Linked DNA regions of Coturnix japonica. The protein of the gene in region 6 purifies or fractionates together with the protein of the main gene of each other region. This does not show direct contact. Links are inferred from orthologs where the notes say so. Each region holds a gene or a part of one and is shown on either strand. Other genes may lie near its edges.

Region 1 (3,029 bases), on a different chromosome or scaffold from region 6:
GGCGTTCCAGTGCAAGGCAGCAAATACGCAGCAGACCGTAACCATTACAGACGATATCCGCGTCGCAGGGGTCCTCCACGCAACTACCAGCAAAACTACCAGAACAGTGAGAGTGGGGAGAAGAACGAAGGAGCAGAGAACATCCCGGAAGGCCAAGCCCAGCAGCGCCGTCCCTACCGCAGGCGGCGGTACCCACCTTACTACATGCGTAGGCCCTACGGGCGTCGACCACAATATTCCAACCCTCCCGTGCAGGGAGAGATAGTGGAGGTAACGCATGTGGTGTGGGTCCTGTGGAGCAGGGCGATAAAACGCAGCTCTGCGGATGCTCGAGATGTGCTCTGTAAGGCTTAGCAGTGAGATAAAATGCCTGAGCAGATGTTGGCACGGTGTTGGGTACAGCTGTTGAAAAGCAGTGTGTTAACTTCTGGTACAAGTAACTGGGCAAAGAGGAAGCTCTGTGTAGTGCACTGAGGCCGCTGTCTGCCTTGCAGCCCTCTGTGTGGTTTGACTGCCTGGCTAAGAACATTTCTTGTCTCGTTGTCTTCCAGGGTGCTGACAACCAAGGTGCAGGAGAACAAGGCAGACCAGTCAGGCAGAACATGTATCGAGGTTACAGACCACGATTCCGCAGGTATGCCGCAGATCAGCTCTTGCTTTAGCCTTGTGCTCTAGCAACACAGCCAGGACATCGCAGTGCTCAGATGCTGCATTGTTAAAGCCCAGCTTGACTTTCAGGGGTCCTCCTCGTCAAAGACAGCCCAGAGAGGATGGAAACGAAGAAGATAAAGAGAACCAAGGGGATGAGACCCAAGGTCAGCAGCCACCTCAACGTCGGTACCGTCGTAACTTCAACTACAGACGCAGACGCCCAGAGAACCCTAAACCACAAGATGGCAAAGAGACGAAGACAGCCGAACCACCAGCTGAGAACACGTCCGCTCCCGAGGCCGAGCAGGGCGGGGCTGAGTAAATACCGGCTTAACATCTCTACCATCATCCGGGTACGTGTTGGGTGCTCTGGGGGGTGTGACTGGACAGTGGGCTCTTTACTTTGTGATGCTTCCCTTTGAGTTCTGCTTGTGTTAATGCACGTTGGAACTGCTCTGCTTGCTGGCTCTGCAGAACAGAACTGAGTGCTGGTTAACTGGGTGGGCTCTGCTACCGGGCTTTAAATTTCCCCGGTGGAATAAATGCATAGAATATTGCTAATCTTTAAACCTCAATCAGTCTCTGCTATGATAGTTCACCCACAAGAAGCATTTTGATGCTGGTGTGGTGACCTGAAAGCATTCTGCTAGGAGAAACAGGTGTGTGAGGATGCTAGCAGCTCTTCAGGCTTGCCAGCATTGTGGCTTTGGTTGCCCTGCCCTGAGGGCTGGGTGCTGGTTGGCTTTAGCACCTCTCCACATCTGTTTCTCATAAATAGATGTTGAGTTTGCAGGAGCATTTTGGTAGGAGCTTCTCACCTGAAAAGGGATACACTTGGTGTTGCATGGGCTGCCCTGTAGGGCTGTGGTACTGCTTGTCTGCAGGGGTGCATGGGGTCCCTACTGAAAACGCTGTCACTGCAGAGCTATTTGCTTATGCTGTCTTATGTAGGCACTGGTTCTTTGCTTTCAAAGGCAGGTATTGGTGCTAAGAGGGTCTGGTGAAGGGTGTTAATGGGTGCCCTTTCTCCTGGATCCCTCTGCTCTGGCTTCTGGTGCAGGCTTCCAGTTTCTATCACTGCAGTATAGGCTGATGGGGAGCTGTGTGTGATAAGATGCGTATGCAAAAACAGAGCATGAATTTAAACTGTAGGTGAGCCTCAACATGCTGAACACATCCACATGACGCCACGTCTGAGATCCTTTATTCCTTTCTTTCAGTTTAGTCATCAAAGAAAAGACTTAAAGAAATGAAGAAGAAAAGAAAATGAAATTCCAGCAATAAGAAATGAACAAAAAGAATTGGAACTGAAGACCTGAAGTGCTTGCTTTTTGCTGTTGACCAGATTACAAGAACTATCTGCATTATCTATGCAGCATGGGGTTTTTATTATTTTTACCTAAAGAAGTCTCCTTTTGGAAACAAGAAACGCGTTTTTTAAAAGTCTGTTTTTTCTCAATACACCTTTAAAGGTTTTTAAATTGTTTCATATATCTGGTCAAGTTGAGATTTTTAAGAACCTCATTTTTAATTTGTAAGAAAAGTACGCCTGATTTTTTCAAGTCAAACTGCAAGCATCTGTTAATAAAGGTCTTAAAGTTAATCACGGCCTGCTCTGGTTCATTCAAACCCACCTCTGTGGAAGCCGAGCAGTTCATTTGTTGCTCAGCAGTTGTGGATTTGAATGTTGGTACTGCTGGGTTTGTGCCCTCAGCTCTATGCGGGTGAAAGGCTCTTAGTCCAGCACATGGAAGTGATGCTTCCATAGGCAAAACAGGAGGAGCAGCGCAATGAATGCACCGCCGGGTCTGCCCATGGACGGCTCTAAGCGCCCTGTGGCTTCCCCTCCTTCCCACTAATGAGCGCTCTGCTTTTATCATGTTAATGCTCGCTCTTCTAATTGCTTTCCGGTGTGCTGGAGCACCAGCCATTAGCGGCCGATGCGTCTGTGTTGTGCTCTATCTCTAAATGCCTTTCAGCGTTTCTGGCTGCCCGGTAGAGCAGCAGCTTCCACCTGTAAGAGCCGCTCTTTGAACCACGGAGCTGTTGGACTGCAGTCAGCACACACAGCACAGGGGCAGAGGCTCGCTGCTGCAGCCACGGGGAGTCAGTGTTGCTCTGTGCTGATGAGGCTTTGCCCTGAATTACTTCAAAGCAACAACAGGGCAATGAGCAGAGCTGCTTTGCTGCTCCCACAGCTGTAGGGTACAACAGGAGCTTAGCACTGTTCATTGCTAAGTTGGGGTGTTGGAAAAGATGACCTCAAAGTGCCCCTTTCAACTCAAACGATTCCATTCCTCAAGGCTTCAGCATCTTCTCTTACTGCGTGACACATTGCTGAGCTGTCCCATGTAGGTGATGGTGCTTTAATGAGGTGG
Region 2 (4,108 bases), on a different chromosome or scaffold from region 6:
CCTTGTTGACAACAAGAGTTGCTGTCTTTTGTCATTTCCTGGGTTCTTGTAGAAATGGGCTGTTTTTCTTTCAAGGTTTATTCATAAATGCATGTGTATTTGCACTCGAGTTCTCTTGGGATTTGTTTCTAGATTTGTTCAGTGAAGTTGCACTTAAGTACTTGCTTGTTGTCTATTTAAGATTGAGAGTCCTAAGCAGAATTCCTTTATTCAGGTGCTGTCTTGATGTTAAATTAAGTGAAATGTGTTAAAAGTAAACAGCTTGACATGCCTTATGGTAGTTTACTTGATGAAATTTCATGTTGTAGCTTGAAGTACATCAACTGCAGCTTGTATTAAAAATAATACCAATTTAATAGATATATGTGCTGACAAATTACCTTGCTAAACTTTAGTTCAGTGGAATTCTTATATGAATTCAGAATTGTTTTGGATTTTAAAAGAACGTAATGAGAATGGGAGATGAGGCAGAAATGCATGTATGATATGAAGCAGCAGCCATGTTAGATAGAGAAATGATAGGAGGTAGCATAATGTTTCCTGATTGTTTTATGTTGTGCTTTATTTTTCTAACTATGTTATGCTAATCTTTTTTAAAAAATTATGTCAAAGAAAAGCAATTCAGATTTTTTTTGGTGATTTTGTGTATTTCTGAATTCTAGGGTAGATATAGCACATCTATGCCTTTACAACCTAAGTGTTATTCATAAGAAGAAATACTTTGATTCGGAGCTTGAACTCATGGCATACATAAATGAAAACTGGGATAGATTACATCCTGGTGAGGTAAGCAGTTGGAATGTTCTTTCTTCCCCACCTTTCACCGTGCATGTGTTGGAGACCTATGAACTGTTTTATGTAGGATGTTAAATTCTTTATTACCTTAACATCTGTTCACTCCAAGTGATAAAGAGGTTATCTTCAATTTCCTTGAAGAATTAAGTTTTTTAAGTTGCGTATATTTTTCTGAGCTATAAAATTTCATTTTATTGTTTGCATGGCAGTTTTATTATTTCTTCTTTTTTAATTGTTTCATAGTTCCTTGAATATTTTCATGGGTGTGGACCAGTAAACCTATGCATATAATTGAATACAGAGTATATTTAGTATGAAAACATTAAGGTCTCTAAGGTGTAATACATAACAAATCACTGCACACAAATGGTTCCTCTTTCCTCCCTGTTCCAAGCATGAGTGTGAGCAGTTTGTCTACTGGTCTTAAGGATTTCAACTTTTTTCAGCTATTTGGGCTGTTATCAGGAAAATTTATAGAAAATCTTTTTCCCCAAGAGGAATGATATAGGTAGTCTTTTGGCTCTGCATTTAAGAAATTTTTGTTGGAGTGACATTGGCATGTGGCTGTTGAAGTGTGAGCTTCTTTCTTGTATAAGAAAGATACTGAGGTGCTCATGTTAGTGATCTTGGGAAGGCAGGCTGCTATTCTTCTTGTGTACTAAAACAATTTGAAATTATTTCTTGTACTACTTAAACAGAAAATTTAGGTTCTTTGACCTGGGTTTGTCATTTCTGTGAATGTGAATCACGTAACAGATGGAGTTTAAATAACTAATTTTAGGGTTAGGTAGTTTCTACAGGTAATTTTTTTTTAAATGTACTTCACATCTAAATTGGTAGATTTGATGACTCGGAGTTACTGGAAGCTTTCTATTACTAAAGAATTAAATTGGATAAGTAATTTCTTAATTCTCCACAGCTGGCAGATACACCAAAATCTGAAAGATATGAGCATGTACTGGAGGCATTAAATGATTACAAGACCATGTAAGTCGCTGGTATTTTTTTCTTAAATGCTCGCAGCTTTGTTATTTGTAGCTGTCAGTTTCCTTTGCTCAGTTTCTCTGATAATCACTGTGGCTGTGTTAACGTTGACATTTTGAATACTGTTTCTGTTTCAGAGTATAACACCCATTTGAGTGGATCACAGATCATGAGAAAAAAATTGTTTTAATTTCCATCCTCTTCCCAGTTCTCATTCTGTATTTCAGATTGAGGATTGTGTTAGTGGGAAAAGGTGAATAAAATAGCATTAGGATGAGTATTTTAATTTGCTTAATTTGTTTTGCATGAATACTTTATTTTAAAAGCTGCTTTCCCTGGATTCGGAATGTTAACAATGAATTTAAAATCACCTAGGTTTATGTCTGGAAAAGAAATAAAGAAAAAGAAGCATTTGTTTGGCTTGAGAATTCGTGTTCCTCCTGTGCCACCAAATGCTGCTCTAAAGGCTGAGAAAGAACCAGAAGGAACTTCTCATGAATTCAAAATTAAAGGCAGAAAATCATCTAAACCAATCCCTGATGTGAGGTAAAATAATCCCATGATTTTTTAGAAATGTTGTGATAAATAGGAACTGCTGTAAGTACTTTGGTGCCTGTGAAAGAAGTCCTGTTTGTTGTTTAATGTACACTTCTAAATAACTGTTAAATTGGGCTGTTTGTGTGCTTTAAAAGTACTTTAAACTTGTAAACTGATGTAGCTGCATGTTCTCCTTAAAGGTGACTATGAGAGCAGAGTATGCAAGCTTATTAGTTTTCTATTATGAGCCTTTTGAAAAACAAAACACAAACCCAAACAACCATTGTGACATTTGGCAGTGAGAACAATACAAGCTGTCCTAACTTTGCTGCCACTGGGGGGAAAAAAAAAGTCCTTTCCGGAGCTTTTATGCAATGCTACTAACTAGGTTTCTAAATAGGAAATATGATATGCAGTTCTAGCTTGTGGTAGTAGATTTGATGTTTCTTTAACCAACACTTGTTCATTCCTCTTCAAGATTAGGGAACCGGTAATGTCACTAGAAAGAATGTTATGTGTGTTATTTTAAAGGCAAATTATTTAGCTTTTATATGAGAGTTTTGATTTGCCAGGATCTCATTTAGCACAATGTGTATTCATTGCCAAAGGAAAGCATTTATTCTTTGAAAATTATCTTCAATAATACAGAAAAAAATATAAATTTTCTTCTAGGGAATTAAGTAATGGTATAGAAAGAAAGGGGAAAAAAAAATCAGTAGGTCGTCCACCTGGTCCCTATACGAGAAAAATGATTCACAAAACTCCAGAGTCGTCTCCTCTGGTAAGGTTTTGGATATGTTTCTTTTATTTTCTCTAACTGGATTATCATTTTTGAAGAAAAATATAATCAGTTAATCTAAATCATGATATTCCTCTCCCCATTTGCCCTCAAACAAAGCTGAATAAGCAATTAAAACTTAAACTGAAGCACTCTTCCTTTTTTCATAGGATGCTGAACCGGTTCCAGTGATAGAGACCCCAGCCTTGGAATTACCCTGCTCTGTTGGGTAAATTAAAAACACACTAAAAAAGCTTAAGCTATTTTAACATAGCATGTCATTTATTTGTTTACTTCTGAAATGTCAACTCAATTTTTACTCTAAGATTACTTTCATTACATGGCAACCCTGTTATCTTACATCAGGAAATCCGATGGAACTGCACATTCATCCAATACCTCAGATGTGGAATCCACAGGTGCTGCCAGTATAAAAGAAACTACCTCATCTAGCATATCCAGACATTATAGGTAACAGCTGAATTACTCTATCTACTATATCGATTAAGGGTTTAATATGTTAATTTTCACGAGATTTTTGAAGTGGAGACACAAAGCAAGTAGTTCAGTGGTACTTTACCTGCAATGGGCTGAAGTTACTGAAAGTGTATGGGAATTATCTTGCCAAAAATGACTTCTGATGTTCTGTGTGTGGTTTCTAAAAACCTGAGGTTGTATTTTGGCTTACTTCAACTAAACTTGAGCCAGATACTTCCAGAGAGATTGTATTTCAACAAGCTTTAAGAAGATTATCACTTGCATACGAGAGAGGCTCAGAACAGCATCTCTCTTTGAGAGAAGACAAAACAAAAAGGCAGTTTTCCAGTCATCTGCAGTCTAGTCACTGCCGGTGATGTGTGATGGGTTCTTCTATTTGTTTTTGTTTTCAATTGAAGCATTGGCAAAGCAAAGATAGAAGATAAGGAGACTGATGCAAGTTGTGGGACAACTATAGTAGATCTGAAACAGAGATAGGAGTATTCCAAAATTTCTAGGAGAATGGATAGGAACTTA
Region 3 (4,108 bases), on a different chromosome or scaffold from region 6:
TTCTGCTCTTTTGAAATCTGGCTTTGTAAACCTTTGTTGGGTCATTCAGAAATATCTCAGTAATTTAAAACAAACAACCCCTTCCTCTCTGCCCCCCTCCCCACACATACATACACACACAAGAAAACCCCACAGCATTTTGTTTGGTGTTTCCCTGTGGTGTTCTGTGGGAATAACTATGAACGTGTTTTGGTGTTCTTGGAAACATTGTCGGAGAAGCTTTGAAGTGCGTACAAGAAGGCTTACAAGAATCGTGTAATGAGAATTATTCCAGTGTCTTAAACTTAAAAAGCGTAATGAAAAGGAATTGGTCACATTGCTTTTGATGTTGAGTAGAGAGTTGTAGACAAGGAGGAGGGCAAAGAGTTTAGCATTCAATGTCTCAGTCAGAAGGATCTGTTGGTTCCTAGATGGCTGCTACTTCAGTTTCTTCAGTATATGGCATCATTTGAAGGCTAGGATCTTTCACGTGTCACTGTTTAGCACAGGAAAATAATTCCAGTTTTGTTTTTGAACTGCAGGAGTAGAGTCCTCTGTAGGAAAAGTACATTAATTTTAATGTGAGGAGAGGAAAATCAGTTTTAAAAAAGGGAGGGAGGGCATAAGGCTTTGAGGAGTCACTGTGTTCATTCTCAGTTGAAATGTACTCTGGTGGGGGCACTTCAGAGTAGGGAGTTTCTTTCAAGCAGTGCAGTATATGAGCAAAGTAAATAAAAGCCAGCTTTGAAAATACACAGGAGGCTGAGAAGAGGTTTGCTGTGAAGTGTGAGTGGTGCTGACTGTAAGCCTTCTCCAGCTCTTCAGCCCTTTCACATTGTTTAGACTGAAAGGGATTTTATTAGCTTTTCAGAAACCCAATTTGTTCCTTATGAAGCTTCAGTTTAGATTCCTTAAACTTGAAAACAGGTAGTTCCATGTCTCAGATTAGATAGGAGGAAACATCCTTTGTTTCCTTTCACGATATCCCAACTGTAGGAGATGCAACCTTCCACTCCTTACCGTTGTATCACATTTTCTTTCTCTGTTCCTTCCTGTTTTCCTGCTCCTAATCCCAGAGATCCCTAATGCCTGTGACTACATGTGGAATTTCTTTATAGCAAAGCGAAACTGATTCTTGTAATCTGCTACTTCCTGTGTTTCTTCTTAGCACTGAAAATAACCCAGTCTTCTGCTGAATTGTTTGTGCTACTTCCTAGAAGAAGGCAAACTTGGGTTTGTCTCATCCAGGCTCTAAATAGGCACACTGTTAAGGAAGATCGTATTTTACTGTAAAAACAGTCAGAAGATGCACTGCAAAAGAAAACAGGAGAAGTTTCTATCTCTGTTGGTAGAAGAATAGCTCAAGATTGTGTAGTGCAACCTACTGTCTGTGTCCTGCCTTAAAGACACAGACAACGTTTGTTATCTTGTTACCTGAAGCACCTTGAAAATGGTTGTGGTGTATTTGTGCTCTGCCAAAAATTATGGCTATTTCCTTGCTAACATGTTAGAACAAGGAAGCTTCTCGAATGCAGTTTGTATTTCTTATCTTTTGTGCTCCCAGTGAAACAAATAAGGGTTGGCAATAAGGCAAATAAGACAATAAGATCCCAGCTAGTTTAGAAACAGTAATAAACAGAAATGATCTTTGAGGAATAAACAGAAACCGTTCATTGGCTGTGGAATTGAGCTGTGTCAGTCAAGCTATAACTGTGGTTAGAGTGTCTCTAACTCCTCTGTAGCACAGAAAGGATTTTATTGTCTCATCTCCTCTCATCCCATCTTTCTGTCTTTCATGTAGCACAGGATCTGTTTCAAGAGTTGAATATACAGAGGGCTGGCACTGTTCTTGCCAAAGTCTGGAGCATGTTCCTTTTTACCAAGAAATGTGACTTCCTATAACTGTATGTTGCTAAATACCAGGTTATGTTGTGGCAGCTGGCAGAAGGTCTGAGTGGTTGCTTTTAAGCTTGGAGCTGTCTTCTGTCTCAATTGCCTATTCTCGAGTTCCTGCAAACTCAGGATACTTGGAAGAGACGTTAATTCTAAAAAGAACCTGTCTCAAAGGACCTAAACCTTTTAGGTATTGTCTCCTGTCATCTTTATTTGTTCAGCAAAGATGGTGAGCAAAGGGTGTACTCAGTCATCTTAGGCTGAGCATATGTAACAGCTCTTCGTTGCTGAAATTGGTTTACTGGCTTTAGCCATGGGCTTTTCTGCTATCCCCAGCCCTTTTTCATGCCAATTGTAATACTTATCTGACACTACACGGTGGTCATTATCTCACTAAGCAGCCAGGATGCTAATGTGGTAGAAAAGAGAATGGTTGTTGCCAGGTGGGTGAGGCGAATGAGTTTGATGAAGAATCCTGTGCGTGTTGGATGGGTGTACATCTCTTGGAATAGGACCATAATTTTTGCTGGGAGGAGGTTGTTAAAGGGGCTCTACTGCTTTGCTTGGTGACACTCACATGCTCTTAGTGCCAGTCAGATTTCAGTCTTAATGCAGGTTCGTTTGACAGCTTTGATCCTAACATGTAGCAGCAGCTGGCCTTGACTTAGTGAAAGAATCTGTCAGCAACAGCTACATTGCTGAAATTAATCATCTCTTTTTTGTTATCATAGCTATGTATTTGAAGATACAGGAATCTGTATTGTTCAAAAAGCATTTGTTGTCTTTTAAATGAATGCATATTGTAACGTCTCACACTTCTGCTTAATTTCCCTTATCAACAGCAAACAGACAGAGCAAACAGATTTGAGTATCTGTTGAAGCAGACTGAGCTGTTTGCTCACTTCATTCAGCCTGCTGCTCAGAAAACTCCTACTTCACCTTTGAAAATGAAACCAGGACGTCCGCGAATAAAGAAGGATGAAAAGCAGAACTTGCTGTCAGTTGGCGAGTGAGTGATGACATGTAGACCAGCTTGTACTGTAATTAAGGATTTTATTGTGCTTTAGAAGCGTAAGTTAACACTGTCAGCCTTTGTCCTGTTTGGAGGTGTTTTACACTGTACAATTGTGGTGTTTTTTTCCCCCCAACTACCCACTTGTAAATTGTCAAAGAATTCTAGGAGTTACAAGGAATCTGTGATGGCAAAGTACTATCGCAATTTAAAGTATTCCAGTACCAAGGAAAGCTGGGGCAGAAGAGTAAAGCAGTCTTGGCTGTAATTTGTAAGAGTTCACAGGTAACACTGTGTGTCCTAGAGGCACCTTGGAAATCACATCCACAAAAGTGGATTGCCTTCATGGCAGCGTGTATGTCTGCACTACTCCTGCAGCTTCTGGCATATGTTGCAGAACCTTGAATCACAGGTGTCATTTCTTGCCTTGTAGTTCCAGACCAGTACTGGTGTGCAGTGTCTTTTGTGTTTTAGCCCTTTCTAGTCACTTTGCCCTAACACATGACCTTGTTCACAATGTGAGGCATCCTATCATTAAGAAGCTCTTGATCTAAAGAACTAAATTATTTCAATTCATCAGCTTACCTTAAGAGTTCTCTTGCAAGAAGCTTCTTTAGGTGCTCACGTGTATTGCAGACCAATTAAATTTTGGAATCGTTCTGAACAAATCTTCTTTTCTGCACTTTCAGCTATCGCCATCGTAGAACAGAACAGGAAGAAGATGAAGAGCTGTTAACAGAAAGCTCCAAGACAACGAATGTCTGCACTCGGTTTGAAGAATCTCCATCATGTGTGTTTCCTCTTTTATTTTTCTCCCCTCCTTCACCCAAAGTGCTTTACCCTTCAAAAGTTAAGCTTGAAACTCAAACTTCATGCTACTCAATGAGAAAAAGAGTCAACTGGGAGGGAGGAAAATGGGAGGGAAAAAAGTCCAGCACCATTTTGATGAAACATAGTAGGTTGGCATGGGAGTGTTTACATTCAGGCTAGAAAGATGCTCCAGTCTTGTCCTTATGAAATCCAATTGCTATACTGTAGTTAATGAGAAAAAGCTAGCTTTAAGTTGGCGGTCTTAAAATATTCACAGTTCTAACTCATCTTGTGATTCAGCTTGAAGTACGTAATGGCATCCAGTCTATTTGACAGAGAAATGAATATTCTGCCATTTTAATGTGGTACTGTTGTAATGCAATGGAAAGCACAGCAATGACAGCAGAGCAGCAA
Region 4 (4,564 bases), on a different chromosome or scaffold from region 6:
TTGTTACCTTCGGCCCCAGCTTTCTGGACACTCTTATCTGCGCTGGAATTCTCCCCCACACAGAAAGCTCCACAACAATAAACCAGAAAATTATAAGCAGATGAGAGACAGGAATGAGGTTTTTAAGCACAAGTACACTTCACAAACACAGTGAAACAGACTGCCTTCCACTTTACCAGCTAAGTAGAACTAAGCTTAGGTGCAGGGAAGACGCAGACAATTTGTTATACCTGAAATATTTCATCTTTATGTGACTCGAAGGAGTGCAACTTCAGCTTTAGGTTCCTCAAGTCCCATAACGCGACAGTCTGTCAAAGAAAGAAAATAGTTTTTTCCCCTCAAGTAACCAACATGACACACCAACTCCTACTCCAAATTCAATACAAACATTTACCTTATCAGCTGATCCTGTAGCCAGGATAAACTCACTGTAGGGATTGAAAGAAAGGCAGTTGACTTCAGCTGTGTGAGCATCCACGGAATGGCTGGGTTTGGAGGTGTTGTTTGACCGCGTATCCCATCTGTAAGCAGAAGGAACAGACCTGGAATGAAGGCTTACACCCCACCTTACGGGCAGACCAGGGAGCAGCTGGGAAGGCAAAATGGACTGAGATGTTCAGCCTCTAAAGAAAGCACCCCGCTTACATCATGAGCTTCTGATCATCAGCAACAGATCCAAAAAGAGATTCGTGCAGCAGGTGCCAGGAGACATCTTCCACTACAGCTGTATGCCCTGTGAAGATGGTCTTTGCATCCACCACTTTACCTTCTTTTGGAACAGCACTTATATCCCACAAGCAAATGGTCTTTAAAAAAAAAAAGGGAAAACCAAAACGAATAAAAATTGTATCTTTAGACAGGAATTCTCTGCACTCCCCCACCTCCATCCCCTCAAACACAGAAACATTCCTGACCTTTGTCAAGGGACACAAAGTGCAGATCGCACCCCAGCTACACTTAAAAGCACTCACGTGATCATCAGAAGCACTAAGCAAATGCCCACTCAGGTTTGGGTTCCACGACAGCCCGTAGCCTTCTTTCTGGTGTCCACGAAGACGCAGATCAGGGTTACACTCTCCAGAAGGGTCTGTAAAAAGGCAGTGTAAGAACTCCGATGCTTAGAATCACTATCAGCACATCAAGGATTAAAGTTACACGCTATGCAACCCACAAAACTTTTCAGCCTCTTTTGCACCCCATCAACCTTAAGAAAAGGCTGTTGTGGTTATTTTTGTAGCTCTGAAGCATGAAGGTGACAAAGCTCCAACCACCTGGTTTAGAAGGATGTTTGGTGTAATCGAAGACGAGGACATCGCTGGATGGAGTCTTTGTAGCAATGATGCATGGGTTCTGTGGCATGTAACGAGCTCTGTTCACTTCTCCCTCATGGTTTATCTTGATTTCAATTTCAATTTTTCCGCTAACAGACCCAAAGCCTCCAAACTCTGTGGGAGAAAAAATAAAGAACATAAGTAAGCATTGTCTTGCTTACAAATAACTCTAAGAAGCCCAAAGATCACAATACAGATTGCATAATCCAGGCTTCTGGCAAGAAGAAAAGCTAATATTAGATTGTTAAGAACTTTTAGCATGCAGAAAAATGGATTCAACCATTAAGAAGTGGAGGAAAAACAGAGTTTAAGCCCCACCTGATTGACATCTTTGCTCCCTTACCTCCTTTCTCACTATCGTAGTGTGAGGCATCAAACTGTGCATCATCATTAGGCAGCTGCACACTCGCTATCACGAGATGATTTTGTTCATCTGAAGTGTGAGTCCCCAGGACCAACCGGTGAATGCTGAAATCCTTGCCCTCAGGCCTGTGAGAGAAGAAACTCAGGTGAGAAACACATGGAGTTTACACAAACATTGAGCTGAATATGGTATGTACTGCTAACAGCTTCCGACACCTGTAACATCCTTAGAAACTACCATTGCTCTCCTGCTCTGACACTGTATTTCTTCCTCCAGAAGAATCTCTCCTCCCAACTCAAGATCTCAAATCACAATTCTTGGAGCATAACAGCACCTACCCCCAGATACCTCCAGCAGTTCCCCTGCCTTCCTTTAAGAGACTCTAACAGCCTCCCCAGCGCACAGTTGGAGATGCATATACACTCTTTGGAAGCAGAATGTTGTGGAAGATTAGGATGAAAGAGTGCTTAAAGTGAAACTATATTTAGTTCTCTGTGGGGAGGAGGGCTTTGCATTTCAAAAAGGAGAACGAAGCTGGAAGAAGAAAAGCATCAAAATCAAAGACGTGAAGCATTTTCTTGGTGATAAGCAGCACTTTCCCCACATTAAAGGTGTCTCTGGGGTTTGCAGACGAGACAAGGAGTCACACGGAGCCTTACTTCTGCAAGGAGTACATCCAGAACGCACCCTCACCTCGTCACATCGGGGAGCCACTGCGCAGTCAGGCTGGGCCACTCCAGAGCGTGGGTCATTACCAAGTCATATAAGAAGGGTGTGTTCTTCTTCCATATCTTATACTCCTCGTTGATCACACGTTCTTCCACTGCGTCATCAAAGGCTGCTGAAGGGTTCATGAAAGCAATGCGGGATGTTAGCGTTTATCAGGACAGGCACAACACACACAGAGATGGGTGGGCACTCAATAACGGGGCACTCAATAATGGAGCACTCAATAACGGGGCCCTCACTCAATAACGGGCCCCACCACACGCAGCTGTTTATCACCCAACGTTGCTGCGGGACACGCCGCCCCCCCCGCCCGCAGCCCCTCGCAGTGTCAACGTAGCGACCCGTTGTAACCCGTTGTAACAGGCCGGTCCCTGCTGTTTCCCCCAGCGCCCCGCAGGCCGCACGGGACGCCCCCCGCCCCAGGGCACGGCCCAGCGCCCCCTGCCGGAGCCCCCCCGCCATCACTGCGCACGGCGCCGGCCGATGGAGGCGGGGGGGGCGGGCAGTGAGGCCTGAGGCCTCTCGGAGCCGAGTGAAGGCCGCAGCGCCCAGGCCGCGCCGCCGGGCCTTACCTTCCTTGTCCGCCATTGTGGGCGGCGGGATGAGGCTGCGCTGCGCGAGGCGGGCGCTGCTGGCTCCGCTCCGGACGCGGCTCTATTGTTTCCTGCCCCCGCTCCCTGCCGCTCCCGCGCCGCGCACCCCTTCGCGCGCCAACACTGACCAATCCCCGCCCGCCGCCGGGAGGCTTCCGCCAATCGGAGAGAGGCAAGGGGCGGGAACGAGGGGCAGGAGAGCGCGCTCGGCGGTCACGTGTGAGGGCGGCCATTTCCGCGGAGCCATTTCCGGACGGAGCGGGTGGGCGGCTCTTAAAGGGACAGTGCCCCGGTGAGTGCGGTCTGCGCGGGGGGGGGGGGGGTCTGCAGGATGGCACCGTGAGCCGGCCCCGAGCTGCCCCTGAGCTCTGTCCTACCGGTTACCGGTCGCTTAATGGGTCTCTGTGACCCGCCCCGTTCCCGGTTTGTGGCTCCGTTCACACTCAGCCCTGTGCTCTTTCGGCCTTATTCCCTCCCAGGAGCGTTTCCCAGCTCGCAGGTCTCGGTGCTGATCTGCGAACAGAACCCGGAGATCCCGTGTGGGATCGTCCCATGGCCGGCAGTGAGAGCTGCTCCTATGGGAAAAGCCACGGTGGACTCACGTGGGATGTCGGGAAATAATTACCCTGAAGTTAATGGGGCGCTGCAGCCGGTCTGATGTGTTTGCGAGGGAGAGTCGGTGTGGAACCGACTGGTGGGATCCACTGGGTGGGATTGAAGTGCTCCATAACGATGTGCTGTGCCCCATAATAATGTGCTGTGCCCCATAATAATGTGCTGTGCCCCATAACGACATGCTGTGCCCCATCACAACGTGCTGTGCCCCATAACGTGCTGTGCCCCATAAGGTGCTGTGCCCCATAACAATGTGCTGTGCCCCATCATGTGCCATGACACACAGCAGGCTGTGTACCCTGTGCAGTGAAGCTCCAAAGCCAAAGTTACCCGTGTAACTTACTGTAGAGCTGGTAGAATTATGTCCTCGTAGATGCAGTATTTTATTGCTGGAGGGTGATTCACACGGAAGGATCAGGGTTCCTCCCTGCAGAGGCTGAAGGGCACACTGTTGGTGCATGCTCTCGGTGCACACTGTTGGTGCATTGCACACTGTCAGTGCACACTGTTGGTGCATGCTCTCAGTGCACACTGTTGGTGCATTGCACACTGTCAGTGCTCGCTGTCGGTGCGGTGCTGGGTGTCACTGCTGTGTGCCGGCAGTGTGAGCAGCACAGCACTGAACTCTGTGCTTCTAATCTTGTTTTCATGCACAGCCTGTGTGCAGCTGCTCCCCATCGGCTGCTGCTGAGAGCCCCAGCTGGAAGCAGCTCTCCTGTCCAGCCCAGCAACACCCTGCAGTGGCAGTGGCCATGTTCAGTGTGAGCAGGAAGTGAGCGCAGCGATGGCAGGCGAGGAGCGGGACTACAACCTGACGGAGGAGCAGAAGGCTGTGAAGGCCAAGTACCCACCGCTCACCAAGAAGTACGAATGTGAGTGACACTGATACACTGTGTGTGTGTGTGTGTGTGTGTAAGAGGGAAATGGGAGGA
Region 5 (4,610 bases), on a different chromosome or scaffold from region 6:
ATTTCCTAACCTTTCCTAAGTGCCTTTTGGACAGGGAAAACCAATATATGAGCATCTCTTGCAGCTTGCCTTAGGCCTCAAAGTAATTAGTCTCACAGGCTAGGCTCCATGACACAGAGCTAACACAATACTGGAACTGGCCACTGTGACTGAGCAGCATAAAGAGATACCGTGCACCAGGATTCACTCCCATGAACCTCAGCACAAGGAGTTTTATCAGCTGCTCTGCAGACCTCTGTGCTCTTGATTGTGTCACAGGGTAATAAAGACCTGACAACAAAAACAGTGCAAATTTAGCCACTTAAAACTAGCAAGGTTAACCAACATACTTGATGCCTGTCCCTTTCAATCCCTTCATCACTGAAGTATAACAAAATGTTGCTAGCAATGAAGCTTATGTACCTAACCACTCCTTCCTTTTAACTCCACACATGCTTTACACTGCATGCCTTTCTTACTCTGCCATCTCTCCTTTAAGAAGGAAGGACAAGTTTATCTATACCCTTCTGCACCTCTTTGCTTAGAGACAGTTATCTAATCCCAGCCCCGGGTTCCTTCTTGGCTTGGGAAACACGCACTGTTCTCTGTACTGCCAGAACAGCTTATCTCTATGGCCACATTGAAGTTTCTCTCCATGATTATCTGAGTTGTCATAACTGTCAATGTTATAAAACCCGGGAACACAACTGAACTGCATGAGGAGCACATTTAAAAGGAAACAGCTTTTTTTTTCCCCCTCCCAAATGAAATGTGTTTGTTTTCTTTCCACTTACAGTTAAGAAGAATAAATATTAACAACCATGGCAAAGTCTGAACCAGCCAAAACTTCAAAGCGTTTCCTTAACCTGCCCATCAGAACAGGACAGACCCAGCACTGAGCATTCACTGCTCACCATGCACCAAACCTCAACTGAAGGCAGCAGAGCTCATTTTCACTAAAAATAACCTCCCTGCAGACCATCAAGCAATGCATGTCCAAAAATAACCCCTTCAGGGTAAAGCATCACACCATCAGCTGTGAAAAAACAAGAAAAATGCAAGCCCTGAACCAGTTTAGATGCAGGAGTTCTGGAAACACAGAAATTCAGGATACGATTACAGTGATCTCCTGGTAGCCCTAAAGGACAGCAACGTTCTGGCTGCTACCTGACTTGTAAACAGCTCAGCTCCTCTAGACAGTAAGGAGAGAATCCTATTTCCCACCCAAAGGTTAATAGGATCTGACAACTCTTCAGATTTACAAAGTGCTCCTACTTCCACTAAAGGTATCCAGGAAATACAAACTATCCCTTTTCATGCTGCTGTTCACTACATCAGGAAGGACCTTTCTGACCCAGATCTCTTTGTGGAGGCAGAAGAGTTTGCGGATTTCTCCCTCCCTCCCAATAGTAACTCAAAGATAAGGTTTAAGTCACTTGACCTTGTAAGACCTACCGGTAACAGGACACCAGTTACTCTGTCAAAGTATCACTTCATGTGCTGGGGCTTCCTAAAATGTCTGCTGCTTCTCCAAGAGCCCAGAATGATGCAACATCCCTCTAAACTCATGCCTATTTATTACCATAAAAGTTTACCTTGAAACACATGGGGAGACCAGCTGTCTTCCTATTTGTTTGGGAGTTTTTCCTGATACCATAAGCATTTACAACTAGCTACTCTTCCCTTTTAACATCACACCTACACCTACATGATAGGGGTCTTCTCTACTCTAAGAACACAGAAGGCATTCTGAACCGGGAAAGAGGACAGCAACCAGGACGGTACAGTCACCATCAGCTCACATCAAATCAGCTGAGAGCTCAGAGGCTCTGCTGGCTTGCAGGAGCACAGCTCTGTGATGACATTTCTACACACTGTGAAGGCTGTGACCTGAAGGCAAAGTATTTATTACCCTGTGGAAGTCTGCTATCTGCTCTCTGTAAAACTCAAAGGCAGGATGGCCAATCACAGGCTACGGGAGAGGTTACTGGCTGGTCAAGTCTGGGCTGTTATGAACTGATTTTGAATCCTGTCTGTTCTGGAGATGTCTATATATAGAGACTGCTAAATCACAGCAAAGAGCAGTAAATGTGCACCAGGCAACAAGTAAAGGCTCTCAGAACAAGGGCAGAAAATACTGACCTACTTTTCTTCCAGAAAAAAAAAAAAAACACATTCACAAAGACCTTTTCTGTCCCATCTTTCATGCTTCCAACTGCTTTAGCACTGGAGCATCTACTGAATCAGGTGCCAAATGGAACTACTAGAAACAATCTGGCCAGAGTAAAGCAGCACGGACCCTGCACAGGAGGCAGCACAGTGCATTGCACAATGAGCTGCTCAAGAACAGCACTGCAGATTGTCATACAGCAGCCATCAGCCCTCCCAGGTGTGAAGGGAAGCAGGTGAGCAGCCAGAGGGTGAGGGCAGAAAGCAGCCAACTGGGGCTCATTAGCCAGCTGTGCCAGGTACACAGAACAGCTGGCACCTCCAGTGCTTTGGGGGGGCACCCCCGAGCAGGTGGAGATCCTGATAAACTGTGTTTGAATGTCTGAGAGCCGTGAGGCTGTTTGAGAGGCACAGACACAGCGGGTGAACGCCAAGAAGGGAGGACACGGCTCGGAGCCCCCCGGCTGCTCCACGTACCGTCCGCCGGCTGCTGGAAGTTGACGTAGGCGTATCCGAGGGAGCGGCGTGTGATCATATCGCGGCACACGCGGATGGAGAGGATGGGCCCGGCGGGGCTGAACTTCTCGTACAGCATGGCCTCGGTCACGTCGGGGTGCAGGTCGCCCACGTACAGCGAGGCCATGGGGTAACTGCCGCCCGCCGCGTTCATGCCCGGACCGCTCGGCGTGGATGGGGCGTCTGCGGGGAGAGAGAGAGAGAGAAGAACCTCCGTCAGGGCGGACCGAGCCCCGCTCACAGCCCGGCCCGGCTCACAGCGCGGAGCTCCGGGCCCCGCACGGGCCGTTTTCAGGCTGTTTGGCCATAGAGCCACAACCCGCGGCCTCCGACACCCACAACCCGCCCCAACCCGGAGCTTCAAACCGCCCCGTCCCCGCGAGGCTCAGCCCCACAACCGGCCCCGACGGGCCGCAGCCCCACGCGGCAGCCGGGATCGGACCGGACCGTGCCGCAGCCGCCCTGCCCCGCTCCGTGCCCCGCTCCGTGCCCCGCTCCGTGCCCCGCTCCGTGCCCCGCTCCCCGCCCCGTCCCGGTGCCCGGCCCCACTCACGCGCTGCGGCCCGGCGGGCACAGAAGGGGCGGCTCACACCGCGCTGCCCTTTATATCCGGCCCGGTCCGTGCGGGGCCGCGTGCGGCGGGACGGAGGGAGCGGCCCCTGCGGCGCCACATCCGCTACAGCGCCGCCCTGCGGCTGGGAGGACCGAGACCGGGGCGTCCGGATCGGGGCTGCTCCGCTGCGGGAGGGACCGGCAGAGGGCGGCGGAACCGCACCGAGACACGGCGGGACGGAACGGACGGGAAACCGGCACCGTGAGGGGCTGAGCATCGCTGAGTGCCGCCCACAGCCCCGTCCGCACCGCAGCAGGCACAGCCCTGCGTCCCCTCGGGCTGCTCATGGTGTTTGTAGCCCGAAGAACGAGGATGCTCGGGGGACTTTGGGGATTTCCCCTACAGGGCAGATCAAACGTTGCCGGGATGTGTTACCGGAGATGTTTGATCTTAGAAAAACCCTGGGAAAAGAAGCTCCATCCCTCACCCTCCACTGCGACCGAAACGCTGCTGCGGGGGGAAAACCCCGCGGGGCTGGAGCGCTGCCCTCCCACCGCCTGATCCCGGCACGCAGGAAGCGGTTCCCGCAGTCCCCGCTTTGCTTTTACCCCCGCGGGGCTGTGGGTGAACAGCCGCCCCAAAACGAGCCATGCGGGGCTGGACCCCCCCGCCACCTCCCACCGCGTCTGGGCTGCCGGGCACCGGGGCTGGCTGCGCTCAATGGCCCCATTATCGCTCCCTCTGACTCCAGACGGATGCTGCCTTCCTCCTCGCAGCTGCAGTTGCTCCCTTCCAGCAATTCCCAACACGGCACTTAAGGCGAGGATTTATGGGCGGTTTGGAAAGGCGTTTTGGAGCGAGAACGAGTTATGGGAAAGGAAGTTGAATTTTCACCGTTCCCCGGGAAATTCTCGCAGCCTCTTTCACGGCCGGGATCGCTGAGGATCCTCCCCGCTGAACAGGGGCTGCTCTCAGCTCTTCCCACAGCCCGGAGCCGAGAGGTGACTCTGGTTCTGCTCACAGAGGGTCAGCAGACACAGGGCAGCCCCGCAGTCTGGCTGGACTGGTCTCAGCGCGTCCCAAGGCATTTCTGTGGATGCTGGGAGCTAAATGAAACGAGCTGTGCTCAAGCCATGGATTATTGCCAACCTCAGGGTGAGAGCCATGAGATCCCTGCTGATCTCAGCTCATGCAGTGGTTTGCAAAGTAAGAAGTCACGGGAGCAGCCACCACAAGCAGCGTTCCTGCTGGGGATGTTCCCTTACACTACACCTCAACAAAGCTCATGTGCTGCAACGCCAGCAGTCATCCCAGCATCCAGACTGGCAGAACAGCTGCACACCAACACTGCATCTCACACCAACAGGGGCTGGAAAGACTTTATTTACCACCT
Region 6 (4,108 bases):
ACTCATATACCTAACAAGAGATATTATCCATGATAAATCTCACTAGTAGAAAGTTGCTCATTTTCTATAGTAATATTATTTCCTTCAATCAACATCTTACAGACTGAACCCATCTTTTCAGTATATTTAAGGTTGATTATTTTTTGTCACTGTAGTAGAGATACACTAGCTATAGCCTCTTGTAAATTTTAAATTAAGTTGACTTCTATATAATTGCAGCATGAATTCTGGATCATCACATTCTTGGGAAACCAAGGAAATTTACTTTCCTTTTTCAGTAATTAATACTAGTAGTTTTGTATTTCAGGTCTAAAAAGTAAAACACTATCATCCTTAGTAATTGCATTCCTTCTTACCTGTCTGCATGTTTTGGTCCCAATTAGTCTGGCGATTGCACAGAAGTTATCATAGTAGGTGCCAATAAGAACTCTAAACATCGAGGCTTCTGCACCACTCCATTCCACATTCTCTGGAGGCTCAATATTTGGCTTCATCTTTATTGGTGTTTGACACCTAGAATTTGCTTCTGCAATAAGCAATCATTGAAAGTATGAATCGATGTAAGGTTATATTTCAGGAAGTTTCTATAGCCTTTAAAAACACCATATTAACCTAATCAGTTATAGTTAAAATAGTGCAGAGTTCTCTTGGTTTTATTTATTTAAGCACTACAACAAAACAGTAACTTTCATTTGGAGAAGTCCCGAACTAGGTAACATTGGCTACTAAAGTTACAGATCTCAAATCTAAAACAAAGTTGAAACAATCTGGACATTTTGTTAAAGAGATCTACAAATGTTTCAAATACATGGTTTCTAAAATTGCATTGCACAAAGTGGATTCATGCTCTCAAGCACTGCAACCAAGTAGAAGCCTTGACTAGCCTTACCAGAGGAACTGGAAGTTTCATCTTTCTTTTCTTCTTCCTCTTTATCATTGTTTTCTCCTCCAGTTTCCATTCCAGCTTCTCTGTCACTGTCTGTGTCTTTTGATTCCAGCACATTTATTGTTGGTGTGCTAGGTCTGCTGGTGTTATTTGGAAGTCTTCCCCTTCGGCGACCACCTGGGCGCTTCGGTGGTGTCTTTATACGCTCAGCAGTCAGGGCAGCTGCAAACTCCTTTGCACCTTCCTAAAAACAAAACACTGATTTTCATTACAAGTTTAGAAGCAATTTCACCCGTGGCCTGAGGTGGGGGATACCTACATACTATTCTAGAAATTTAATCATGAACACAAATTCCAGTTAATTTACCCATAACATTGATGGTCTCTCCATGTTCAAGTTTACTATTACGAACATTAATGCTTCTGATGTTATCATGAGTAAATCTACATCTACCAATTATTTATTTCAGTTCCACTTTCACTGCCAAGTGAAAAAATAATTCATTCAGTAGTAAGTTTTCATCTTCCTAGATGACATAAGTAGTCTGAATGTTCCACAGAGTCCCTCCATAACACAAGAACTCTTTACATGGCACCTAAACAATAAACATTCTGCATTATTCAGAAGACCATCAGTATTGTAATTTGTTTTCTACTGGAAAGGAATATGATAACAGATTGGAAGTTTTTTAGATTAGAAGATCAGACATGTCGTTTCACTTAAGGGAAGTATGAGGGGTTTTTCTTTGTTTTTTGTTTTTTAGTTTTTTTCTTTGTTTTTTGTTTTTGTTTTTTTTAAAGTGTTTCCCCTTACTGGTTCAAACCAAAAAAAGATTCTGGCAATAACCCTTCTTCAGCGAACTGTCCAGTTTTTAGTTGATAGGCCACTTTTGAGAAAGTCAAGTCTCTAAAACCCAGTTCTTTGACTAGACTGGACACAATGGCAGAAACATTATTAATAAGTACTGATCTTACCTTCTTACAAGCACATCAGGCTACATCTAACAGAGTCAAAAGTTATTCCTACTCAAACATTCATTTAGTGATTAATGCTTTTCTCACAAAAACTGAAGATGACACATTTGACTGCAAGCAGCTTACAGGTACAAGCATGTTTACATACATAACACACCCGAACACTAAGTGCAGCTTGATGTACTTACAAGTAATTCTACTTTAGTAAATTCTTACAGTTAGTTTTTAATTATCTTACCAGATGCTGGTAACAGTGCGGTCCACAGGGCTTATTATCTAATGCTGTTTCTGTATTCTTTCTTTTGTAAGTATTTGGAGTTGCATGGAATGCTGTTGAATCAAGAAAATAACACTTGCAAATCTTAAAAGTAAAAAAATGCATTAGATATCTAACTTCAAACAGTAATAAGAACACAAGATTTACCAAGGCTTTACCAAGAACAGCATAAGAATGAGAAAAATAGAAAAACGTCAAGATACATGCCACCTACTGACATTTGACTTACAAAGAAAGTAGATGACTACATCTGCCTATGCCCATTAACATCAGTGAACATCAAATTTGATTCTCATCCCAAGGGAGGACTTGCTATATTTCCCTTTTGATAAACAGAACAAACTTGATTACCATTACCAAGTTAAGCAGAACTATTCCAAGCATCTCCTTTGAATGATCATCTCTCAAACTGTAAGAATCCCATGTTCAATTTTTAACTTGTTTACATAAAAAATAACAACTCCATGCACTTTAACAAAGCAAATAACACATTTTTCATGTTAGTTACTGAAAAGGACTTATGATCATTTTTACTGTATTAGTTCGCAGCACCAAAACTAAGTTCTCTCCCAGCTGCAGACATACCTGCTCATGTACACTGATGGAAACTGTAAAGCACTCAAGTTGCAAAACAGTGACTTAGAATGATGCCGATCTGGGTACATTACAATTGCAACGTTAGTACTTCTACAGAGTGACTAAGCTCCACAGACATGCCAGAGCTTGTCTCTACCACATCTTCTGTCACATGATATTTGCCTCTCAACAGAATGTTTTCACTGGAAGCATTAGGAACTCCCTAGAATCCCCCACTAAACTAAAATGTGGGAAATCTGCTGCTAAAGCCACACAGGAACAATAGCGCAATCAAGTCCCCAAATTATATTAAGAGATTTCAAAAATAATATCCTTAGTTTTCTGTAATTCTATATATATTTTTAAGTCCTCCAATAAATACTTCTCCCCCAGAAACGCAGTAACAGTAGCACATACAACTACAAGGAAATAAAAAAAAAAAAAAGTGGTCAGCATACTGAAGCTTAATAAAAAAAACCAAAAAACAATAAAACACAAGACTCAGCACTAGCTGTCAGTTCTGCTACACTCCATGAAGGCTTAAGAGCCTCCTCTCAGAAAACATTTTAATCCCATGCACTTATGTTGCAGTTTTTAACACACTTACAGTTAAACAACTGTAAGTTATAGTTACGTTTTTCAACACTCAGTGAACAGGAAGTACTATTTTTTGAACTGAAAGAACAAATCTCTCCCCTGTTAACCTGTACAAACCCATTAGAGGGTCTCTTCTAACGAACTCACACCTTTCTCCACCACGATAGCTTTTCCTACTTATTTCTAGATTCTACATGAGGTTTCTTGCTATAATAATCCACCATTGTGCCTTCAGGAGCTTTCACAGTACTATTCAAGTAATATCTGCCAGGCAATTGATTTACAACATAGTTCTTCTAGCACTTGATTTGGGACCAACTGGGAAGGTAAGTCAGTGCTAGTGTGTATGTCTTAAGGGAGCTTCTCTGATATCTTAAAACCATCACTACAAGCTTCCCTCCCATAAGGGAAGATGGTGTAGAAACCTCATGACAAATTCCATAATTTTATGCCTCTGTTAATGTCAAGAGCACATAAGGGTCTTGGGGGAACAATGTATTTTTCCAAGGCTGGGCTTAAAGTGTAAAAGGATATAAAATATTTAACTAAATATTGCATTTTTTTCTCTCCAGATAGATCTTATAAATCAAGAAAAACAAAAAGACTTCAATTTACCACATGCTGACATAGATATGTAAAAACTGATTACAAGCAAATATAGGAATGTAATTTACACATGTTGCTGCTGTTAGCATTTCTTCCAGTCTTCCTAAACATTTATTTTAAAACTTTTATGTATTACATCACATGTTTCACATATCCTTGAAGCGTTGATATTTTCTATATGTAGGATAAGT
Region 7 (4,604 bases), on a different chromosome or scaffold from region 6:
TCTCCTCCCTTCTGTTGTGGGGATGGAGGAGATGGGAATTCGGCTCTGAAATGGTTAAAGAAGAGCATGGCCTAATTCTCAGTTCACCTTTTGACAGTTGGGGAGCTCCAGCACCTCATGGTCCTGGAGACTGCGGAGTGGAGCGTTCTGGCCCATTGCTCAACACGTTGTGTCTGGACACATTCAGGTGGTTGTGGTTCTACACATTCAACCACCCCGAGGCAGTTTCCGGCCACCCGCTGCCATCGCTTTGACAGGAGTGGGAACCCGACTTTCTTGGACGTCCGTGTGTGCAGCTATTGCCTTGGCATGCTGCCAAATCTCTTTCCAGAGGGACACGACCAGCAGAGAGGAAATGACAACCCGCAGCACTTAGTGAAGGCTAATTCTAAATGGGATGGTTAGGGACCGGGGAGAGGCGTTTCGTTGACCCGCGGCCCATCTCCTCGCTGAACCTCCAGAGCCGCCACCGAGCAACGCAGCCATGAGCCCGCTCCGCTTTCCCCCAAAACTGGGCTGCGGCTCCTGCGCCCCCGCCGCCTCCGGAGGTGCCCCGGGAAGGTGAGGAAGGCAAGGAAGGCCGCTCCGAGCGAGGTCACGGCTCCTGACCCCCCGCCCCGAGCCGGGCGGTACTGCCAGGGTCGTGCCGCCGCCCGCTGCCCCGGCACCGCCCGCACGCCGGCCCCGGTTCCGCCGCACCGCCCCGCTCTCGGTGCCGGGCTCGGCTCCGCGGATCCGCTGCGGGTTTTGCGTGCGGCAGCCTCCGCCGCGCCGAGCCGCGAGCGGCCGGGGCCGGCCCGCTCCTCCTTTGTGAAGGGGGGGAGGCTCCCGTCCGGGCCGCGCCGCGCTCCGCTCCGGGTTTGGCAGGCGGCCGCGGCGCTGGGTAAAATGGCAGTGCTGAGCCTCGTGTCGGAGTGAGCCCCACTCGGCGGACCAGAGTCGGGAGCTGCCGCGCGGCTCACCCAGCCCGGCCCCACCGCCGCTCGGCCCGGCTCCGGGGACGGCGCCCGCCCGCCCGCTCGCCGTGTTCCCCCCACCCCCCTCCCCCTTCCCTCCCTCCCGCCTCTCCCGCACCGGGAGCCCCGTCCCGGGTCCCCCCCTCCTCCTCCTCCTTCCCCCCACTCTCTCCTCCTCCTCCCCTTTCTCTGCCGGCTGCAACCGAGGAGGTACAGCGGGGCCAGGCCCCGGGAAGCCCAGCCCAGCGGAGCCCTCCCCGCCTCGCCAACCAGGCTGGGGGGGAATGAGCCCCCGCTGCCCTGAAGAGCCCGCCGCCGCCTGAGCGGGGAGCAGCAGAGCAGTGAGGCCTCACGCCGGTCGGCCAGGCAGGGAGCAGCTCGGGGGGGAACCGGTCCGGGGGGGGGGGGGATCATGGCTGCTCAGGTCGCCCCCGCCGCCGCCGCCGCCGCCAGCAGCCTGGGCGCCCCGGCTCCGGCCGAACTGAAGAAAGCGGAGGCGCAGCAGCGGGATTGTCCCCTGGAGGAGGCGGGGGGCGAGGCGGCGGCGGCGGAGCGAGGCGGCGGCGGCGGCGAGAAGCAGGCGGAGAGCGAGGGCCCCCCGGGGAAAGAGCTGCAGGACGGGGCCGAGAGCAACGGAGGGGGCGCAGGGGCCGAGTCCGACCTGAAGAGCTCGAACGGGAACCCGGGCCCCAGGCCCGCCGCCGCCACCCTGAACAATAACCTCCCGGAGCCGCCCGGTGGCGGCGGCGGCGGCAGCAGCGACGGGGTGGGGGCGCCGCAGCAGCAGCAGCCGCCGCAGCAGCCTCCCCCTTCCCACCCGGCCGCCTTGCCCCCGCCAGCCTACGGCTTCGGGCAGCCCTACGGCCGGGGCGCCCAGGCTGCTGCCGCCGCCGCCGCCGCTGCGGCCGCCGCCGCTACCTTCCACCAACATGGCGGACAACAAAGCCCTGGCATGGCAGCGCTGCAGAGCGGGGGCCTGGAGCAGTCTTACCCGGGGCCGGCGGGAGCCCCCGCGGGGCCGCCCCCTCCCCAGAACTCGCACGGCGGCGCCGAGCACGGCTTCCCCAACCACCAGTACAACAACTACTACGCGGCCGGCGCCGGGCGCAGCGCCGGCTCCTACCCGCCTCCCCCCCAGGCCTACGCCCTGAGCTCCCCTCGGGGCAGCGCGCAGAGCTCCGCTCAGGCGGCCGCCGGCGCCAAGTCCCCCGCCGCCGCCTTCCAGCAGCAGCGCTTCGGGGTCATGGGGCCCTCGGCCGCCGGCGGAGCAGGAGGAGGGGGCGCCACCCCTCAGCCCACGGCCACCCCCACCCTCAACCAGCTCCTCACCTCCCCCAGCTCCGCCCGCGGCTATCAGGGCTACCCCGGGGGCGACTATAGCGGCGGGCCGCAGGACGGGGGAGCCGCCGGCAAGGGCCCGGGCGCCGCGGACATGGTCTCGCAGTACGGCGGGGGCAACGGCCAGGGCTGGGCCGCAGCGCCCGGCGGGGCCCCGCCGAGGAGTCACCACGCGCCCATGAGCCCCGGGAGCAGCGGCGGGGGACAGAGCCTCGGCCGGAGCCAGCAGGTAACCGCGAGGCCGCGTGAGGCGGACGGCGCGCCGGGGGGGGGGGACACGGGGCGGAAGGCCGCGGCCGTCGGGCTGGGGATGGGGGCGGCGGGGGAGAGAGGTGCCCTGAGGAGGGTGGTGGTGTGGGGCGGGGGGGGGGAGGACGGGACGGCCCCTCTCCCGTGGCTTCTCCCCGCCGGGTCGGCGCTGCTGGGGAGCTGCCATTGTCTGTGCCTGCTCTCGCTCTAAAATGGCTGCCTCTCTGCCTTTCCTTCCTCCTTCCCCAGCCTTTGTGCGAGGCTCCCGGAGAGCGGCCTCCGTTCCGCCGGGATAAGGGGGGGCGAAACGGCGGTCGTCCCCGGCGGGGAGCGGCCGGGCCCGGCGCGAAGGGGTCGGCGGAGGCGGTGCGGCGGGGATCGGGCGGCGGGCGGCCCGCCTGGTCCAGCGCGGGGTGTCCCCCCCCGGCAGTGCCGCTGCCCCTACTCGCCGCTGCCCCGCTCCGCGCCCCGGGGGCTTCGCTCCCTGCCCGGGGTCGCCCAGGGCCCGCCCGGGTGGCCGCGTCTCGGCCCGGCCCGGAGGGGCCATCTTCCCCCGCGGGAGGCCCGGCGGCCCGAGCCCGTGGCCGGGAGTGCTAGTAAGCGGCTCGGCGATAGGAGCAGTGAGTGCAGATTGCTTTGGTTTGGGATTTGAATTATGGAGGTAAAATCCTTCTGTCAAAGCCAGGAGACAGTTGGTCTTAGGTTGACATCCTATCTGTGATCTGATTGGCTCCCCATCTCCTGCTCTTGGCCATTTATAATTGCCTCTGATGTAATGGTACAACAATCCTGATGAGCTCATAAACTTTTACACTCGGCTTTTCTGCCAGCTCGGACCCAAAGCAGCCCTGCTGCTCGCCACCTCCTCGGCCCCCCACCGAAATTGGCTGTGACCTTGAGGAGAGTCGGCCTTGCAGGAGCGGATCCCTGGCCTGCCTGCCCTGCTGCTTTGTGCCCGAGACAAAAGAAGAGGCGATGGCATTTTGTTTGTACCTTGGGTTTATTTTGCTTGTGATGTTTTATGCAGCCTGGAATAGAGTCTCTGTTGTCAGAACAGTGGCAGGTCTTCTCTGCACAATGGGCTTGCTGTTTATTTTGGTTATGTGACTTTCCCTTCGGTATAAATGATTTCTTTGATGGATCTGAGGGTGCGTTTGTTCCCAACTAATTTTGGCCTTTTTCAAGACCGGGACTGTTTGGATTCTTTCAGCTGGAGGTGTGGGGGTTTCTGCAGCCTTACAAATAAACAAAAAGCCCTACCAAACAGTCGCAACCAATTTTGTGGTGGAAGCATTGAAAATGATTTACCTACTTCAATTAATTGGGGAGCTTCAATATTGATCAGGCCTCGGCTTCTGGTTGTGCATCTCAGGGCATGTTTTGACTTTGAGTGAGCACTGACAACATCTGTCCCCTCTCTGCATTTAAAGGACATGTTGTAGGTCCTCACTTTGTCACAGTACTTCACTTTCTGAAGGAGTATGAATAGGAAATCCAAGCCTGCACATCAGAATGATCATCGTGTGGGGACACTTACCCATTTGCTGGAAATATGGAGGAGCAGGAAGCGTGCCGAGGAGAAAGCAGTACAGTGTGTGCATCAGACATCTTAGATACGGGGATTCTAATATCTGGAAACTTGACTAAAACCAGCTTCCTCTCTGTGTTCAGACACACGTCCCCACGGCCTGTCGTGGCCTTGTGCAGCCTGACAGATGTCCCTCCTCGTTCCATGTGCTCTGCTCTGACTTCAGGCCCTGGGTTAGAGCCATTTGATCCCACGCAGAGTGACATACAGTCTCCAGACTTTCCTTTCTCTCTCAATGCTTGTGTCCACGTGAAAGCTGCTTAATTTTTGTTCTTTGGTTACCTGAAGGCAGTCTCCTTCAGCATCTTGAGTTGCTTACTTGTCATTTCTGTCAAACAGTGCTTTCTAAGAGAGCCAGTCTGTGGTTTTCAGAGTGTCTGATGGTAACTGGTAGTGAGCATCCCATTGTTCAGAGTGAAGGCTGCAGGTCCTCAGAGGTGCGTCCACATGTACCCGTAGGACAGGTGACACAG

Evidence for each region.
Region 1: the proteins of EZH2 (region 6) and YBX1 purify together in Homo sapiens (affinity purification with mass spectrometry, with the first as the bait; 3 studies listed by BioGRID). This does not show direct contact. The link is inferred for Coturnix japonica from reciprocal best matches to the Homo sapiens genes EZH2 and YBX1.
Region 2: the proteins of EZH2 (region 6) and MTF2 purify together in Homo sapiens (affinity purification with mass spectrometry; 10 studies listed by BioGRID and IntAct, with this or other methods). This does not show direct contact. The link is inferred for Coturnix japonica from reciprocal best matches to the Homo sapiens genes EZH2 and MTF2.
Region 3: the proteins of EZH2 (region 6) and SMARCA5 purify together in Homo sapiens (affinity purification with mass spectrometry, with the first as the bait; 3 studies listed by BioGRID). This does not show direct contact. The link is inferred for Coturnix japonica from reciprocal best matches to the Homo sapiens genes EZH2 and SMARCA5.
Region 4: the proteins of EZH2 (region 6) and RBBP4 purify together in Homo sapiens (affinity purification with mass spectrometry; 12 studies listed by BioGRID and IntAct, with this or other methods). This does not show direct contact. The link is inferred for Coturnix japonica from reciprocal best matches to the Homo sapiens genes EZH2 and RBBP4.
Region 5: the proteins of EZH2 (region 6) and PABPC4 purify together in Homo sapiens (affinity purification with mass spectrometry, with the first as the bait; 3 studies listed by BioGRID). This does not show direct contact. The link is inferred for Coturnix japonica from reciprocal best matches to the Homo sapiens genes EZH2 and PABPC4.
Region 7: the proteins of EZH2 (region 6) and ARID1A purify together in Homo sapiens (affinity purification with mass spectrometry; 3 studies listed by BioGRID, with this or other methods). This does not show direct contact. The link is inferred for Coturnix japonica from reciprocal best matches to the Homo sapiens genes EZH2 and ARID1A.

The regions. Positions count from the first base shown.
Region 1 is NC_029536.1:5,554,495-5,557,523, reverse strand, and holds the end of YBX1 (Y-box-binding protein 1), read left to right. Parts: coding exon 1-270; intron 271-551; coding exon 552-634; intron 635-726; coding exon 727-973; 3' UTR 974-1,004; intron 1,005-1,871; 3' UTR 1,872-2,254; downstream 2,255-3,029. UniProt on the Homo sapiens protein: DNA- and RNA-binding protein involved in various processes, such as translational repression, RNA stabilization, mRNA splicing, DNA repair and transcription regulation.
Region 2 is NC_029523.1:12,126,116-12,130,223, reverse strand, and holds part of MTF2 (metal-response element-binding transcription factor 2), read left to right. Parts: intron 1-662; coding exon 663-786; intron 787-1,714; coding exon 1,715-1,782; intron 1,783-2,154; coding exon 2,155-2,325; intron 2,326-2,988; coding exon 2,989-3,097; intron 3,098-3,264; coding exon 3,265-3,323; intron 3,324-3,460; coding exon 3,461-3,565; intron 3,566-4,108. UniProt on the Homo sapiens protein: Polycomb group (PcG) protein that specifically binds histone H3 trimethylated at 'Lys-36' (H3K36me3) and recruits the PRC2 complex, thus enhancing PRC2 H3K27me3 methylation activity.
Region 3 is NC_029519.1:26,874,403-26,878,510, forward strand, and holds part of SMARCA5 (SWI/SNF-related matrix-associated actin-dependent regulator of chromatin subfamily A member 5), read left to right. Parts: intron 1-2,714; coding exon 2,715-2,881; intron 2,882-3,573; coding exon 3,574-3,674; intron 3,675-4,108. UniProt on the Homo sapiens protein: ATPase that possesses intrinsic ATP-dependent nucleosome-remodeling activity.
Region 4 is NC_029538.1:4,587,178-4,591,741, reverse strand, and holds the start of RBBP4 (histone-binding protein RBBP4), read right to left. Parts: upstream 3,148-4,564; 5' UTR 3,013-3,147; coding exon 2,997-3,012; intron 2,537-2,996; coding exon 2,389-2,536; intron 1,821-2,388; coding exon 1,675-1,820; intron 1,446-1,674; coding exon 1,272-1,445; intron 1,088-1,271; coding exon 972-1,087; intron 807-971; coding exon 646-806; intron 522-645; coding exon 395-521; intron 309-394; coding exon 231-308; intron 1-230. Other genes in the region: ZBTB8OS (protein archease), read left to right, coding at 4,417-4,504. UniProt on the Homo sapiens protein: Core histone-binding subunit that may target chromatin assembly factors, chromatin remodeling factors and histone deacetylases to their histone substrates in a manner that is regulated by nucleosomal DNA.
Region 5 is NC_029538.1:4,814,207-4,818,816, forward strand, and holds the start of PABPC4 (polyadenylate-binding protein 4), read right to left. Parts: upstream 3,319-4,610; 5' UTR 3,218-3,318; intron 2,848-3,217; 5' UTR 2,819-2,847; coding exon 2,626-2,818; intron 1-2,625.
Region 6 is NC_029517.1:75,422,452-75,426,559, forward strand, and holds part of EZH2 (histone-lysine N-methyltransferase EZH2), read right to left. Parts: intron 2,192-4,108; coding exon 2,100-2,191; intron 1,131-2,099; coding exon 890-1,130; intron 527-889; coding exon 357-526; intron 11-356; coding exon 1-10. UniProt on the Homo sapiens protein: Polycomb group (PcG) protein. Catalytic subunit of the PRC2/EED-EZH2 complex, which methylates 'Lys-9' (H3K9me) and 'Lys-27' (H3K27me) of histone H3, leading to transcriptional repression of the affected target gene.
Region 7 is NC_029538.1:101,859-106,462, reverse strand, and holds the start of ARID1A (AT-rich interactive domain-containing protein 1A), read left to right. Parts: upstream 1-1,368; coding exon 1,369-2,523; intron 2,524-4,604. UniProt on the Homo sapiens protein: Involved in transcriptional activation and repression of select genes by chromatin remodeling (alteration of DNA-nucleosome topology).